Anolis sagrei: one gene and its partner. The protein of the gene in region 2 interacts with the protein of the main gene of each other region in a pairwise test. Links are inferred from orthologs where the notes say so. Each region holds a gene or a part of one and is shown on either strand. Other genes may lie near its edges.

Evidence for each region.
Region 1: the proteins of ARL6IP1 (region 2) and SHMT2 interact in binary tests that used the Homo sapiens proteins (3 or more experiments, as listed by UniProt). The two-hybrid records come from large-scale screens. The link is inferred for Anolis sagrei from reciprocal best matches to the Homo sapiens genes ARL6IP1 and SHMT2.

What each region holds. Positions count from the first base shown.
Region 1 is NC_090022.1:184,965,737-184,972,665, forward strand, and holds the start of SHMT2 (serine hydroxymethyltransferase, mitochondrial), read left to right. Parts: upstream 1-3,927; 5' UTR 3,928-4,026; coding exon 4,027-4,059; intron 4,060-6,929. UniProt on the Homo sapiens protein: Catalyzes the cleavage of serine to glycine accompanied with the production of 5,10-methylenetetrahydrofolate, an essential intermediate for purine biosynthesis.
Region 2 is NC_090034.1:25,324,780-25,331,930, forward strand, and holds the start of ARL6IP1 (ADP-ribosylation factor-like protein 6-interacting protein 1), read right to left. Parts: upstream 3,015-7,151; 5' UTR 2,944-3,014; coding exon 2,908-2,943; intron 1-2,907. UniProt on the Homo sapiens protein: Positively regulates SLC1A1/EAAC1-mediated glutamate transport by increasing its affinity for glutamate in a PKC activity-dependent manner.

The DNA of each region.
Region 1 (6,929 bases), on a different chromosome or scaffold from region 2:
CTTTTTGCTACCTTAATTTTTGTTATCTATCCAGCCTCCTACTTTTAAGAATTAAAAATCAACAGGCAATGAGTTTGAGATTTATAGAGTAGTTCTTGCTGTTATATGTTTAGTTTTGTGTGTTGTACAGATTAAGATTATTGTTTTAGATACAGTTCTATTTGTTGTTCTAAGTCTATAGTTTTATATACCCCCCCCCCCCAAAAAAAACCCCAATTTCTTTTTGTTTTGAAGGTGGCATTCCTCTTGCTTTTTCTAGGGGTCCTTCAACATAGCCATATAACCCAGAGTATCAAGGCAGATAATCCACAATATCTGCTTTAAACTGGGCTATCTGAGTCCACACTGCCATATAATCCAGTTCAATGTGGATTTTATACAGCTGTGTAGAAGGGGCCTAATTCTTTTGTCTGTTTCTGTTTCCATGTTTGCATTTCTCTTCTTTTGCATAAAAATCACCTGCAATTCCCTCCTGTATCTTTTACAGTGGTGGCAGTGGTGGGATTGGAAAAAGAAAGGTTCCCCCCGTCACATATGCGATAAGTGACCCTTATCTGTGTTACAGTGGTGGCAGCGGTGGGATCCTTTTTCCCCCCAATTATTTTTATACAAAAAATGTTTGGGGTTTCAAGTCTGACTCCACTGCAGTATTATTATTATTATTATTATTATTATTATTATTATTATTTGAAACACAACAAGATGAATCCACAGCAGACACTCTGCTGGCTGTTGAATTGGATCACACGTCGGACACTTCCCAAGTGTCTAGGACTGTGTGATGTATTGGCGAATAATGCATGCAGATCCCAGTAAAGCGGCCTTCTGCAACTGGCAGATGGTAATTTTGTCAGCACCGATTGTGTTTAAGTGCAGGCCAAGGACTTTAGGCACTGCACCCACTGTGCTGATCACCACTGGGACCACCTTGACTGGTTTGTGCCAGAGTCTATTATTATTATTATTATTATTAGTAGTAGTAGTAGTAGTAGTAGTAGTACTGGTAGTAGAATGCTGGACTAAATATCCACAATGGTTTTTATTATATCATGTTAGCCCCAAAAGGCAGCACTGCCCCTGAATCAATTCAAAAGTTAAAGGCAGAAGTTCACCATATGAAGCAACTCTCCAGCACTTATTTCTCAACTAGGAAAACTTTTGTTGTTGATTTCATGTGCTCTTAAGTCAACTCTAATTTATGACAACCCTATCAAAGCATTTTCTTGGCAAGATGTGTTCAGGGGAAGGCCGCCTTTGCCTTCCTCTGAGAATGAGTACATTTTCCCCCAAGTTAACCTTTGGGTTTGCAAGGCAAAGTGGGAATTCAGATACTAGTTCTTGTCGAACACCCAGGCTGGATCTACACTGCCAAATAATCCATTTTCTGAATCCAGATTATCAGTCTGGAACTGGTTTACATGAGTCTATACTGTAATATAACTAATGAAAAGCCGATGATTTGGATTCAGAAATAGGATTATTTGGCAGTGTAGATGAGGACTACTATACCACACTCGATGTATAGGAAACTACACCACTGAATTGCGTATAAAGCAAAAACCCAACTAGGATTATACTGTATTATATTAATGTAAGGCAAAATCATAGAACAGACCCCCTCCATCTTAAAAATAATAATCTGGAAATAGTCCTGTACTTCTAACTGTCATAATAAACAGTAATTAAAGAGGTGAAGCCATCTTCAGCAAAGGCAAACCTGTGCTGGGTTGAATTTTCATCTAGCCCTGCAGCTGTTAAAAGTGCAAGAGGTTAGTGAGGGAGTGAGAGAGAGAGAAATATAAAATAGCAATCCTATGGATCAGTACCTGTTTAATCTCCCGTGTGGACTGACAAACAGCACTCCTTGCTATAATATTTAGCTATGGCACTAAATGACAAAATGCTTTTCTGCCTCAACATTCAATTTGAGTGTATATGATCTAGAACTGGAGTCCTCAAACATTTTAAGCAAAGGGCCCGTTTATGGTCCCTCAGACTGTTGGAGGTGCATCTACACTGTAGAATTAAGGCAGTTTAAAACCACTTTGACTGCCATGACTCAGTGCTATGGGATCCAAGGAGTTGGAATTTGGTGAGGCATGAGTACTCTTCAACGGAGCAAAACTACAGCTCCAATGATCCTATAGCATTGAGTCATGGCAGTTAAAAATGGGAAATTCTACAGTGTAGCAGTGGTTCTCAACCTGTGGGTCCCCAGATGTTTTCACATTCAACTCTCAGAAATCCTAACAGCTGGTAAACTAGCTGGGATTTCTGGGAGTTGTAGGCCAAAACTCCTGGGGACCCATAGATTGAGAAGCACTGGTGTAGAGTCAGCATGTGATAGTGGCCCCTTTTCTTTCTGCCGGTTCAGTGTAAACTAACTTTGGTGCTATCTACACAACCGTATCATGCAGTTTGAAACTGCATTATATGTTCAATATAGACTCATTACATGACTCTACAATGAGCATATAATGTGGTTTAACTGAATTGGGGTCCCTTCTACACTGCCATATAATATCATTTGCACTGGATTATATGGTAGTGTAGACTCATATAATCCAGTTCAAAGCAGTTAATGTGGATTATCTGCTTTGATAATCTGGATGCTATGGCAGTGTAGAAGGGGCCAGATGACTCTACACCAGGGGTCCTCAAACTTTCTAAACAGAGGGCCAGGTCACAGTCCCTCAAACAGTTGGAGGGCCGGATGATAATTTGAAAAAAACAAACAAACCATGAATGAATTCCTGTGCACAATGCACATATCTTATTTATAGTGCAAAAAAACACTTAAAAACAATAAAATAATTAAAATGAAGAACCATTTTAATAAATAGAAACTTATTAGTATTTCAATGGGAAGTGTGTGCCTGCTTTTGGCTGATGAGATAGGATTGTTGTTGTTGTGTGCTTTCAAGCCATTTCAGACTTAGGTTGATCCTGAGCGAGGGCCGGGTAAATGACCTTGGAGGGCCGTATCTGGCCCCTGGGCCTTAGTTTGAGGACCCCTGCTCTGACTATATAATTCGATTTGAAATTGCATCATTCGACCGTGTTAAATGAAAACTTTGTATCATGCCCAAAATTATCAGTACATACTTATTTAGGCGATCCCTCGTAATCCGAGGATGATGGTCCTCCAAGTGTAGTATCCTGGCGGTAGGTGACTGTGGAGCTCTATTCTTGATCTGCATCTTCTCCCACAGTGAGGGCATCAGTTTCCAGGTGGAAGGCAGTCCCGGTCGGGGTTGGCTTGAAGCACCTTCCTCTTGGCACGTTTCTCTCTTTTGCCCTCCATTCATACCTCTTCAAATTTTGCAGCACTGCTGGTTACAGCTGAACTCCAACTGGAGCGCTACTGTATGTATAATACTACCTCCAGACTATGTGTTTAAGGGCCCTTCCTCACAGCCCTAAATCCCAGAATATCAAGGCAGAAAATCTCACAATATCTGCTTTGAAATGGGTTATCTGAGTCCACATTCTGATAATGTGGTATTTTCTGCCTTGATATTCTGGGATATAGGGCTGTGTGGAAGGGCCCTTAGGGTATATATGTATATAACCAATACATATAATACTTAGACTTGGATCCTCTCTCCAAGAATATCTCATGATGTATGCATGGGCAAATACCATAAACACTCCATAATAATAATAATAAATCAGTAGTAATAGTCTGCAATCACCACCTCTTCTTGCTCGAAGCATTGAGTGCTTTAGTTGCACTTTCCTGCCTTAGAACTTGGACTCCAAGCCTAGGCTTCTGTTTCATAGAGAGGAGACTCCAGGCGCCTAGCCCCGCCCCTCCCTGCGAGAGGCGTTCCAGGCCACCAGAAACTACACTTCCCGTGATGCCTTGTGCACCCGGTAGTGGCTGGCATTGGCGGAGAGCGGCCCACGTGCTCCCCTTCCTCCAGCCCTGGGTCCTCCCTCCTGCTTGCCACCAGGGCTGGCTGGGACTCCCTTTGCCCGCCAGCAACAGCTGAGCCCAAGACTTGGTGCTGCTCTGCTCCTGCTATGTTGCCTTTCCCTTTGAAACACTTGGCCAAGGTAAGGTGCAGCATGCATGTATCTGTATGAATGTATTTGCATTTGTGTATATATAAGTGTTAGATCTGCATTCCTTGAAGGGGGACCAGCTTCCTTGGGATCCAAGGAGCCAGAAAGGGTTGGGGGTGGTGGTCTTAAGTTCCACGGGGTGCATCTGCACTGTAGAATTAATGCAGTTTGACTCCACTTGAACTGCCATGGCTCAGTGCTATGGGATCTTAGGGGTTGGAGTTTGGTGAAGCACCAACATGCTTTGGGAGAGAAGGCTAAAGATCTTGTGAAACTACAGCTCCCAAGATTCCGTAGCATTGAGCCATGACAGTTAAAGTGGTGTCGAACTGCTTTAATCCTATGATCTAGATGCCCCCATAGGGCCTTAGGTATTTTGCCTGTCTCAGGTCCAAAGTGGGGCCTGATCCTAGTCTTCCTCCTGTCCCATTGGCTTCCCTCTGCATTTGGGGCAGAAGGAGGGTTTCAATGTTTGGCCTGTACAGCTTCCCATGGGCAGAGCATTTTTCTCCCACTGATTCCCCCCCCCCCATGAAACAACAACAACAACAACAACAAAGTTTTATTTAACTGAAAAAAGACTTAAAATTACTAAATTTCCATGGGTAGAGCATTTTCCACCCACCGATACAACAACAATATTTTATTTAACCGGCAAAAAATACTTTAAAATACTAAATTTTCATGGGTAGAGCATTTTTTGTCCACTGATGCAACAACAACAAAGTTTTATTTAACTGGAAAAAATACTAAAAAATACTAAATTTCCATGGGCAGAGCATTTTTTGCCCACCGATACAACAACAACAACAACAACAACAACAACATTTTATTTAACTGGCAAAAAATACTTAAAAATACCAAATTTTCATAGGTAGAGCATTTTTCGTCCACTGATGCAACAACAACAACAACAAAGTTTTATTTAACTGGAAAAATACTAAAAAATACTAAATTTTCATGGGTAGAGCATTTTTCGCCCACCGATGCAACAATAACAACAACAATAACAACAACAAAGTTTTATTTAACTGGAAAAATACTAAAAAAAATACTAAATTTCCATGGGCAGGGCATTTTTTGCCCACTGATACAACAACAACATTTTATTTAACTGGCAAAAAATACTTAAAATTACTAAATTTCCATGGGCAGAGCATTTTTCACCCAGGGATGCAACAACAGCAAAAAACAACATTTTATTTAACTGGCAAAAAATACTTAAAAATACTAAATTTTCATGAGTAGAGCATTTTTCGCCCACTGATGCAACAACAACAACAAACTTTGTTGTTGTGGTTGATGTTGTTGTTGAACAACAACATCCACAACAACAAAGTTTTATTTAACTGGAAAAACTACAAAAAATACCAAATTTGGGGTGTTCTTTTTTTGTAGTTTTTCCAATTAAATAAAACTTTGTTGTTGTGGTTATTGTTGTTGTTGGGTAGAGCATTTTTCGCCCACTGATGTCCCTCCAATGCAGTGTTTCTCAACCTGGGGTCCCCAGATGTTCTTGGCCTACAACTCCCAGAAATCCTAGCCAGTTTACCAGCTGTTAGGATTTCTGGGAGTTGGAGGCTAAAACATCTGGGGACCCCAGGTTGAGAAGCACTGCTCCAATGCAACAACAATGACAACAAAGTTTTATGTAACTGTAAAAATACTACATATTGTTAATATTCAATATTCATATTAAAATATTAAACCAGATATAAGAGCAAATGCGCAAATGGAAAAACAGCTGGCCTCTTCTTTCTATTGCAACCATCACAACAACAAAAGTTGCACTTAAGAGAATACCCTTTAATATTTTTTTTAAATTTACAAGAAGTAAAAACAAACATATCATAAAGGACAAGGTATGCAATGTAGATGGAAAAACTGATAACTTGTTTGTATTGCAACTACCACAACAAAAAGTATATATATGCACGCAAATGTGAGTAGATCAATTGGTACCACTCTGGCGGGAAGGTAACAGCTCTCCATGCAGTCATGCTGGCCACATGACCTTGGAGGTGTCTATGGACAACACCAGTTCTTCTACTTAGAAATGGAGATGAGCACCATCCGCCAGAGTTGGACATGACTGGACTTAATGTCAGGGAAAAACCTTTACCTTTATCTTATATTAAAGGGAACCTTTTTAACACTATAAAGGTAAAGTGTATGATGTGGATGGAGATACAGCTGGTCATGTCTTTCCATTGCAACAATTACCGCAAAAAGCTTTAATTCATAAAGAAAAATATTAAATTAATTTTTTCTTAGTAAAAGGTAAGAGCAAATGTATTCGAAAAGACATAGGATGTGGGTACAGAAACAGCACAGCAATCACTTCTTTCCATTGCAACCAGCACAACAAAAAAGTTTTGTTCCTCTACTGAAGTTCTGTTTCCAGGCACTCTTGCTTTCCTCAACCATTTCCAATGGGAATGTTAAATTGTGCAAGTAAAGAAAAGCAAAGGAGAAAGGAGTTTATATCACCGCCGGAGGGTTATAGCAGGCAATGTGATGACAACACAGATCTCCTTTTTGGGGAGCCATTCTGCCGCTCCATGAGTATTTAATTCTATCTAATGGCTCTTGGATTGCGGCACAAAGCGCAGGGAAGAGTTATCTGGATCTTCAAGACTGAGACGCTATTATCAGCCGAAAACCTCTCCGGGAAGCCATGCTCTGCTGGCTTTTATGGGCTAATTTTTGCAGCTTCTCTTTTCTCTTGCTGTCCTATCTGACATTGCAGCTCTGAGGACAGAGAGGGAGAGAAATGACAAAAGAGGCCTTTGGAGCGGATAAGAGGGAGGGTAGGGAGAGGTACAAAAAACAAAGCAAAATAAAAAACAACTTGTGCGCCT
Region 2 (7,151 bases):
TGAAGCTGAATTTGTATGCATGCTGGAACAGATATATTTTAAAGTATAAGTCCATATACATACATATATATGTGTGTGTGTGAGAGAGAGTGTGTTTTGGATCACATAGGGAAGGGCGAACACTCCTGTGGTGTTCTGTTGCTGCTTGTGGCACTGTTTTAGAGGATTTCGCCTCCTTTTCTGTCCCTATGATAACTGGGTTTTGAAAAATGTGTCTAGTTGTGGAAATAACAATTCCAGATAAACCTTCAGTGGGGATCTTGTTTCCCCATGATAATAACTCTTCCATGACTAGATTCCCCTCACTTCCTGTTGTCTCAGTCCCATTCTTAACTGTGGGTCATTTGTAAGTTGGGTGTTTGTAACTCGGGTACGACCTGTATGTAGAAGGGGAGAGGAGGCTAACCTACTTACCCTATGCTCATTTATCAGAAAACCTACTTGACAAAACATCTTTTTCTCCCTTCTCTCACTTCATGCATTAACCTCTCCCCTGATTTTAAAGCATCCTAGGAGTTTCAAAAGGCAATTGGAAATGCACCTCCACCTGGCATACCTTCACTCTGGGCCATCAAAATCAAAAGTTTTATGCCTTAAAGATGAACATGTGTTATTGGACACAACCTTTCACAGGACACAATGTTCTGGTGTGCCTCTGAGTCCTTCTCCACTTACAGCGATCCTAAGGTCACAATTTAGCAAGATCTGTTCAGAAGGGCCAGGCCAATAACACTTGTTCATCCTCTCAGCCACCAAAGAAGGTTATTGGTGGCTAAGAGGGTGACTTGCCCAGTTGGTTTCCATGGCTGAGCCTCCAGAGCCCTGGTCCAATGCTCAAACCATGAGGCCACCCGGACTCCTCTCATAACCAGCCGCTTTGGGTCTCATTAAGAGAATAAAGAGGGCTATAAATCAATGCAGTAGTAATAACACTCTGTAACACAATTTTTGTTCCTGGGTTATAAATGGCATTTTCTAATTGGTTCTAATCACTATGTTTTAAAACTAGTATCAAGTCAATACAGAGCGTATGGTATAGTGGTTTTTAACTCTGGATATGTTTCAATGGTTTTTAACTAGGGATTTTAAATATACAGGGTTAGTCAAAATGCATAGGCCAATAAGCCATTCAATTGAATAGCTTATTGGCCTATGCATTTTGACTAACCCTGTATACTGTTTATATTTAATCCTGTTTTAATGTTTACATATTTGTATATTTGAAATCGTGTACAAATGCTTTTATGTTAAGCCACTGTATAAATATGTGAAAGGATGTAAAAAGGAAGAGGGAGCAGGTTTGTTTTCTGCTGCCCTGGAGACTAGGACTCAATGGAGCAATGGGCTCAAATGACAGGAAAGGAGATTTCAATGAACATGAGGAAGAACTTCTCACTGTGAGAGCTGTTCAGCAGTGGAACTCTCTGCCTCGGAATCTGGTGGAAACTTCTTCCTTGGAAGATTTAAAAAGATGCCGGATGACCATTTGTCAGGGGTGATTTGATTGTGCTGTTCCTGCATGAAGGTGGAGTGGAAGGGGGTTGGACTGGGTGGCCCCTGGGGTTGCTCCTATTATTATTATTATTATTATTATTATTATTATTATTATTATTATTACTAGAAGGGCTGGGTGGCCATCTGTTGCGAGTACTTTAATGGTGATTTTCCTGCATGAAGGCAGAAGTTAGTTGGACTGGATGATCTCTGAGGTTTCTGCTATGATGATGATGATTATTACAAAGGCTGGATGGCCATCTGTTGGGGGTACTTTGATTGTGTTTTTCCTGCATGGCAGAAGGCAGTTGGACTGGGTGGTCCCTGGGATAGCTCTTATTATTATTATTATTATTATTATTATTATTATTATTATTGCAAAGGCTGGATGGCCATCTCTTGGGGGTACTTTGATTGGGCGTTTCCTGTATGAAGGCAGAAGAGAGTTGGATTGGATGGTCTCTGGGGTTGCTCCATTTATCTATCTATCTATTTATTTATATCCTGCTTTATCTCTCCATACGGACACTCAGAGCGGCTCACAATAAAGGAACATTACAACTTAAAATACACAAACATACAACAATAAAACAGTATATGTGATTAAATATTAACAGTAGTAATTCTATTTAATACATTAGCATTACTATATTACAATATTATTATCAATATTATATGTCTATACAATATACTATACTATTAGCCTAGCACAATATTAGTATTACATATTACTATATTCTACTATACCACTATACTGCAATACTATTAGTAATATTACATGTAATATATAATATACAATTATTATTATATCATTATATTGTACTATATTATTATACCACAACATATATAATACGCGACCAGTATATTATACTACAGGTATTAGTATTATATAATATAATGTATTATTAGTATTATTAGAAAAGCTGGATTACCATCTGTCGGGGGTGTTGTGAGGGTGCTTTTCCTGCAGGGCAGAATGGGGTTGGACTGGATAGTCCTTGGGGTTTCTGCTATTATTATTATAATTATTATTACTAAAAAGGCTGGGTGGCCGGCCATCTGTTGGGGGTGCTTTGATGGTGTTTTTCCTGCATGAAGGGGGTTGGACTGGATGGCCCCTGGGGTCTCTTAACTGGGCGTCTACTCTACTATTCGACATGGACCTAACCGCGCACCCCAGAATATCTACTCCGTGCCATGATCCCTGCATTCACCAATTCTACTGAAAGAGAGACCCTGAAAGCAAAGGGCCATTATTCAAGGCCAAGCAAGCTCTGGGCCTGAGCCCGGAAACGAGGCCTCAGCCTGGGCCCTTAAGTCTCGCCAAACCCGCCCTGGATGGGGACCACGACTGAGGCCACGCCGCCTCCCCCTTGCCTAGAAGAGAGAGAGAAGAATAGACCGTTCACCCACCAGCTGGTTGGTGCTCCTGTTGTCGCCTTCCGCCATTTTGTCCGCCTTCGACAGCTCCAACCGTCAACCGCCCGGCACCGCCCCCAAGAAAGGCAAGTCTTTTCTCTCACCTCGCCTCCCATTGGTCAGGGGAACCAAACCCCACCAGCCAATCAGCGTCGTCTTGTTAGCCTCCGGGCCAATCGCCTACCTATTTACATTTTCAAAACGAAGGCGCGGCTCCCTGTAGTGTAAGCCTAGGCCAGCTTGGGCCCTCTCTCCAGATGTTGTGGACTTCAGCTCCCACAATTCCTCACATCCTCAGGCCTCTTCCTTTTGCTCCCCAGCCCTTTAAGGTTGGGCCGAGGCTGTGAAGAATTGTGGGAGTTGACGTCCAAAACACTGGAAAGAGAGCTCAAGTTGGCCCAGGTCTGCTTTGTTGTTGTTCATTCGTTCAGTCGTCTCCGACTCTTCGTGACCTCGTGGACCAGCCCACGCCAGAGCTCCCTGTCGGCCGTTACCACCCCCAGCTCCCTCAAGGTCAGTCCAGTCACTTCAAGGATGCCATCCATCCATCTTGCCCTTGGTCGGCCCCTTTTCCTTTTGCCTTCCACTTTCCCCAGCATAATTGTCTTCTCTAGGCTTTCCTGTCTCATGATGTGGCCAAAGTACTTCAACTTTGTCTCTAGTATCCTTCCCTCCAATGAGCAGTCGGGCTTTATTTCCTGGAGGATGGACTGGTTGGATCTTCTCGCAGTCCAAGGCACTCTCAGCACTTTCCTCCAACACCACAGCTCAAAAGCATCAATCTTCCTTCGCTCAGCCTTCCCTAAGGTCCAGCTCTCACATCCGTAGGTGACTACAGGGAATACCATGGCTTTGACTAGGCGGATCTTTGTTGCCAGTCTGATGTCTCTACTCTTCACTATTTTATCGAGACTGGACATTTTGTAAAGGTCTGCTTTACAAAATTGGAAAAGAAGCATTTTGTTTCTTATCAACCACAGGCACCACTACATAGAAACAAAAGGTTTCTGAGCCACTTTGAATTGGGGAAAAGCTAGGAAATGGCAAACACCAAATGCAAGCCTTGAAGGAAAGAAGGAAGAAAAAGGGAAGGAAGGTAAAGAAATAAAAAGGAAGGAAAGAAAGAAAGAAAGAAAGAAGGAAGGAAGGAAAAGGGGCAGGAAGGTAAGAAGGAAAAAGGGAATGAAGGTAAGTAAGAAAAAAGGAAGGAAAGGAAGAAGGGAAAGAAAAACGGAAGGAAGGAAAAAGGGAAGGAAGGGAAGAAAGAAAAAGGAAAGGGAAGAAGCAAAAAAGGAAGGACAGGAAAAAAAGGAAATGAAGGGAAGAAATAAGGAAGAAAAGAAGGGGGTTGGTCACTTCACAGGATGAACACAACACCTTTTTGTTGTCGTTTGTATTTTGGTCATTGGCCAAAACAAAATGTTGATATTAAGCAGGCGTGAGACTTTTGAGATACCCAAGTGTGATGAAGTGTACATTTTTTCTTGCAGTTATGTATTATTATAGACTAGCTTGGGGACCCAGCGCTGCCCGGGTTATTTAAGAAAGGAATTGTGTATCAAGTTTGGTCTTTATCAGTTATTTATATGACTCGCAGTTGTCTCAGGAAGTTAGTGAAGGTACTGTGAGTCCCATTATCTGTGGTCCATCCTCCTCCAAACTGCTCCAGGATGGAGAGTGGGTAATGGGGTTTTTGTGTGCCAAGTTTGGTCTTGATCGGTCATTAGATGAGTGTTGCAGAGGTCTTGGGAAGTGAGTGGAGGTACTTGAAGTCCCATCATCCATAGTCTGTACTCCCCCAAACCTCACCAGAATGTTGACTTGGCCATGGGGGCTCTCTGTTCCAAGTTTGGTCTTTATTCGTTTTTGAATGAGTTTTGCTATGGTTTCAGGAAGTGAGTGAACGTACTGCAAGTCCCATCCTCCATCGTCCATCCTTCAAACAGCACTGGGATGTAGGGTGGGTCATGGGGGCTGTGTGTGCCAAGTTTGGTCTTAAACGGTCATTAGATGAGGGTTGCAGCAATCTTGGGAAGGGAGTAGAGGTACTTGAAGTCCCATCATCCATGGTCTGTCCTCCAAACTGCACCAGGGTGTAGAGCGGGTCATTGGGGCTCCGTGTGCCAAGTTTGGTCTTGATTAGTCATTGGCGAGGGTCTCAGTGGTCTCAGAAAGTGAGTGAGGTTACTGCAAGTCCCATCAACCACCTCCGTTTTTTTTCCAAATGACACCAGGACGTAAAGTGGGTCATGAGAGGTCTATGTGCCAAGTATGCTCTTGATCAGTCATTGCATGAGATTTGCAGAGGTCTCAGAATGTGAGTGAAGGTACTGGAAGTCGCATCATCCATCGTCTGTCCTCCTCCAAAACTGCAGCAGGATGTAGAGTGGGTCATGGGGGCTCTGTGTGCCAAGTTTGGTCTGTATTGGTAATTTTCTGACAGAGCCCCTGGCCTTTCCTTTCCTCTCTTTGTCATCTCGGAATCTTGGAATTGAGGCTGGCCAATCTGAGACCATATGCAAATTTCCTTCTCTCATGTCTCCGTTTCTGTCATGAAACCTTTTCTCCACCAGGGGCTCCTGTAAAGCTGACCAATCAGAGATCATATGCAAATAGCACCACAGCGGCAGCCAATCAGAATCTTGGAACTTTCAGGGTGGCCAATCAGAATGCTGGCACATACACCGCCACACCGCCACACTTTTGTCCTCCGCATACAAACTTTGACTTTTATTATATACATAGATAAGGGTTAGTAATGGTAAGTATATAGTATTGCATAATATTGGGGGATGGTAACCAGCTTAGCTTGCTTTGAGCTGAGTTGCTATGGAGATAGGGGCAGAGCCAACTGCCACTTGGCAGAACAGCCATTTTGGAAGCGGTCAGTCTGTGGTTGGTGAACTGCAGAACTGGTTGGTTCTTTCCTGTGTAAAGAACCAGAGAGAATTCTGTAGTCATAGAACTACAGGGAAAGGCTGATGCTTCCTCTTCATCTTGGAAAGAAGTGACGAGTGGAGTGCCGCAGGGTTCCGTCCTGGGCCCGGTCCTGTTCAACATCTTTATTAATGACTTAGATGAAGGGTTAGAAGGCAGGATCATCAAGTTTGCAGACGACACCAAATTGGGAGGGATAGCCAATACTCCAGAGGACAGGAGCAGGATTCAAAATGATCTTGACAGATTAGAGATGGGCCAAAACTAACAAAATTAAGTTTAACAGTGACAAATGTAAGATACTCCACTTTGGCAGGAAAAACAAAATGCAAACATACAGAATGGGGGACGCCTGGCTCAAGAGCAGCAAGTTAAACATGAGCCAACAATGTCATGTGGCGGCAAAAAAAGCCAATGGGATTTTGGCCTGCATCAATAGGAGCATAGTGTCTAGATCTAGGGAAGTAATGCTACCCCTCTATTCTGCCTTGGTTAGACCACACCTGGAATATTGTGTCCAATTCTGGGCACCACAATTGAAGAGAGATATTGACAAACTGGAATATGTTCAGAGGAGGGCGACTAAAATGATCAAGGGTCTGGAGAACAAGCCCTATGAAGAGCGGCTTAAAGAGCTGGGCATGTTTAGCCTGAAGAAGAGAAGGCTGAGAGGAGACATCATAGCCATGTATAAATATGTGAGAGGAAGTCACAGGGAGGAGGGAGCAAGCTTGTTTTCTGCTTCCCTGGAAACTAGGACACGGAATGGCTTCAAACTACAAGAAAGGAGATTCCACCTGAATATTAGGAAGAACTTCTTGACTGTGAGAGCTGTTCAGCAGTGGAACTCTCTGCCCTGGAGTGTGGTGGAGGCTCCTTCTTTGGAAGCTTTTAAACAGAGGCTGGATGGCCATCTGTCAGGGGTGCTTTGAATGCAATATTCCTGCTTCTTGGCAGGGGGTTGGACTGGATGGCCCATGAGGTCTCTTCCAACTCTATGATTCTATGATTTATATTAAAAGTAACTGTTGTGGAAAAGAAGGGAAACCCTAATAAGCATCTTTATTGTAACAGAACCATCATAAAGAAAGGATAAGCGTGTGCCTGAAATAACCTGTTAAAGAAAGATCTCTTTCTAAAAGAACTAAGTTTAAGACCTGTTTGTTAGAATAATTAGACCTTCTAAGAGTTATTTAAGGACTGTTATGAACGTGACCATTAAAGATCTGTACCTCTAAGAGAAGAGAAACTTTGAAACCATCACATTTCTGTACCTCAACAAACTTGTTCGTTTCCTTTTG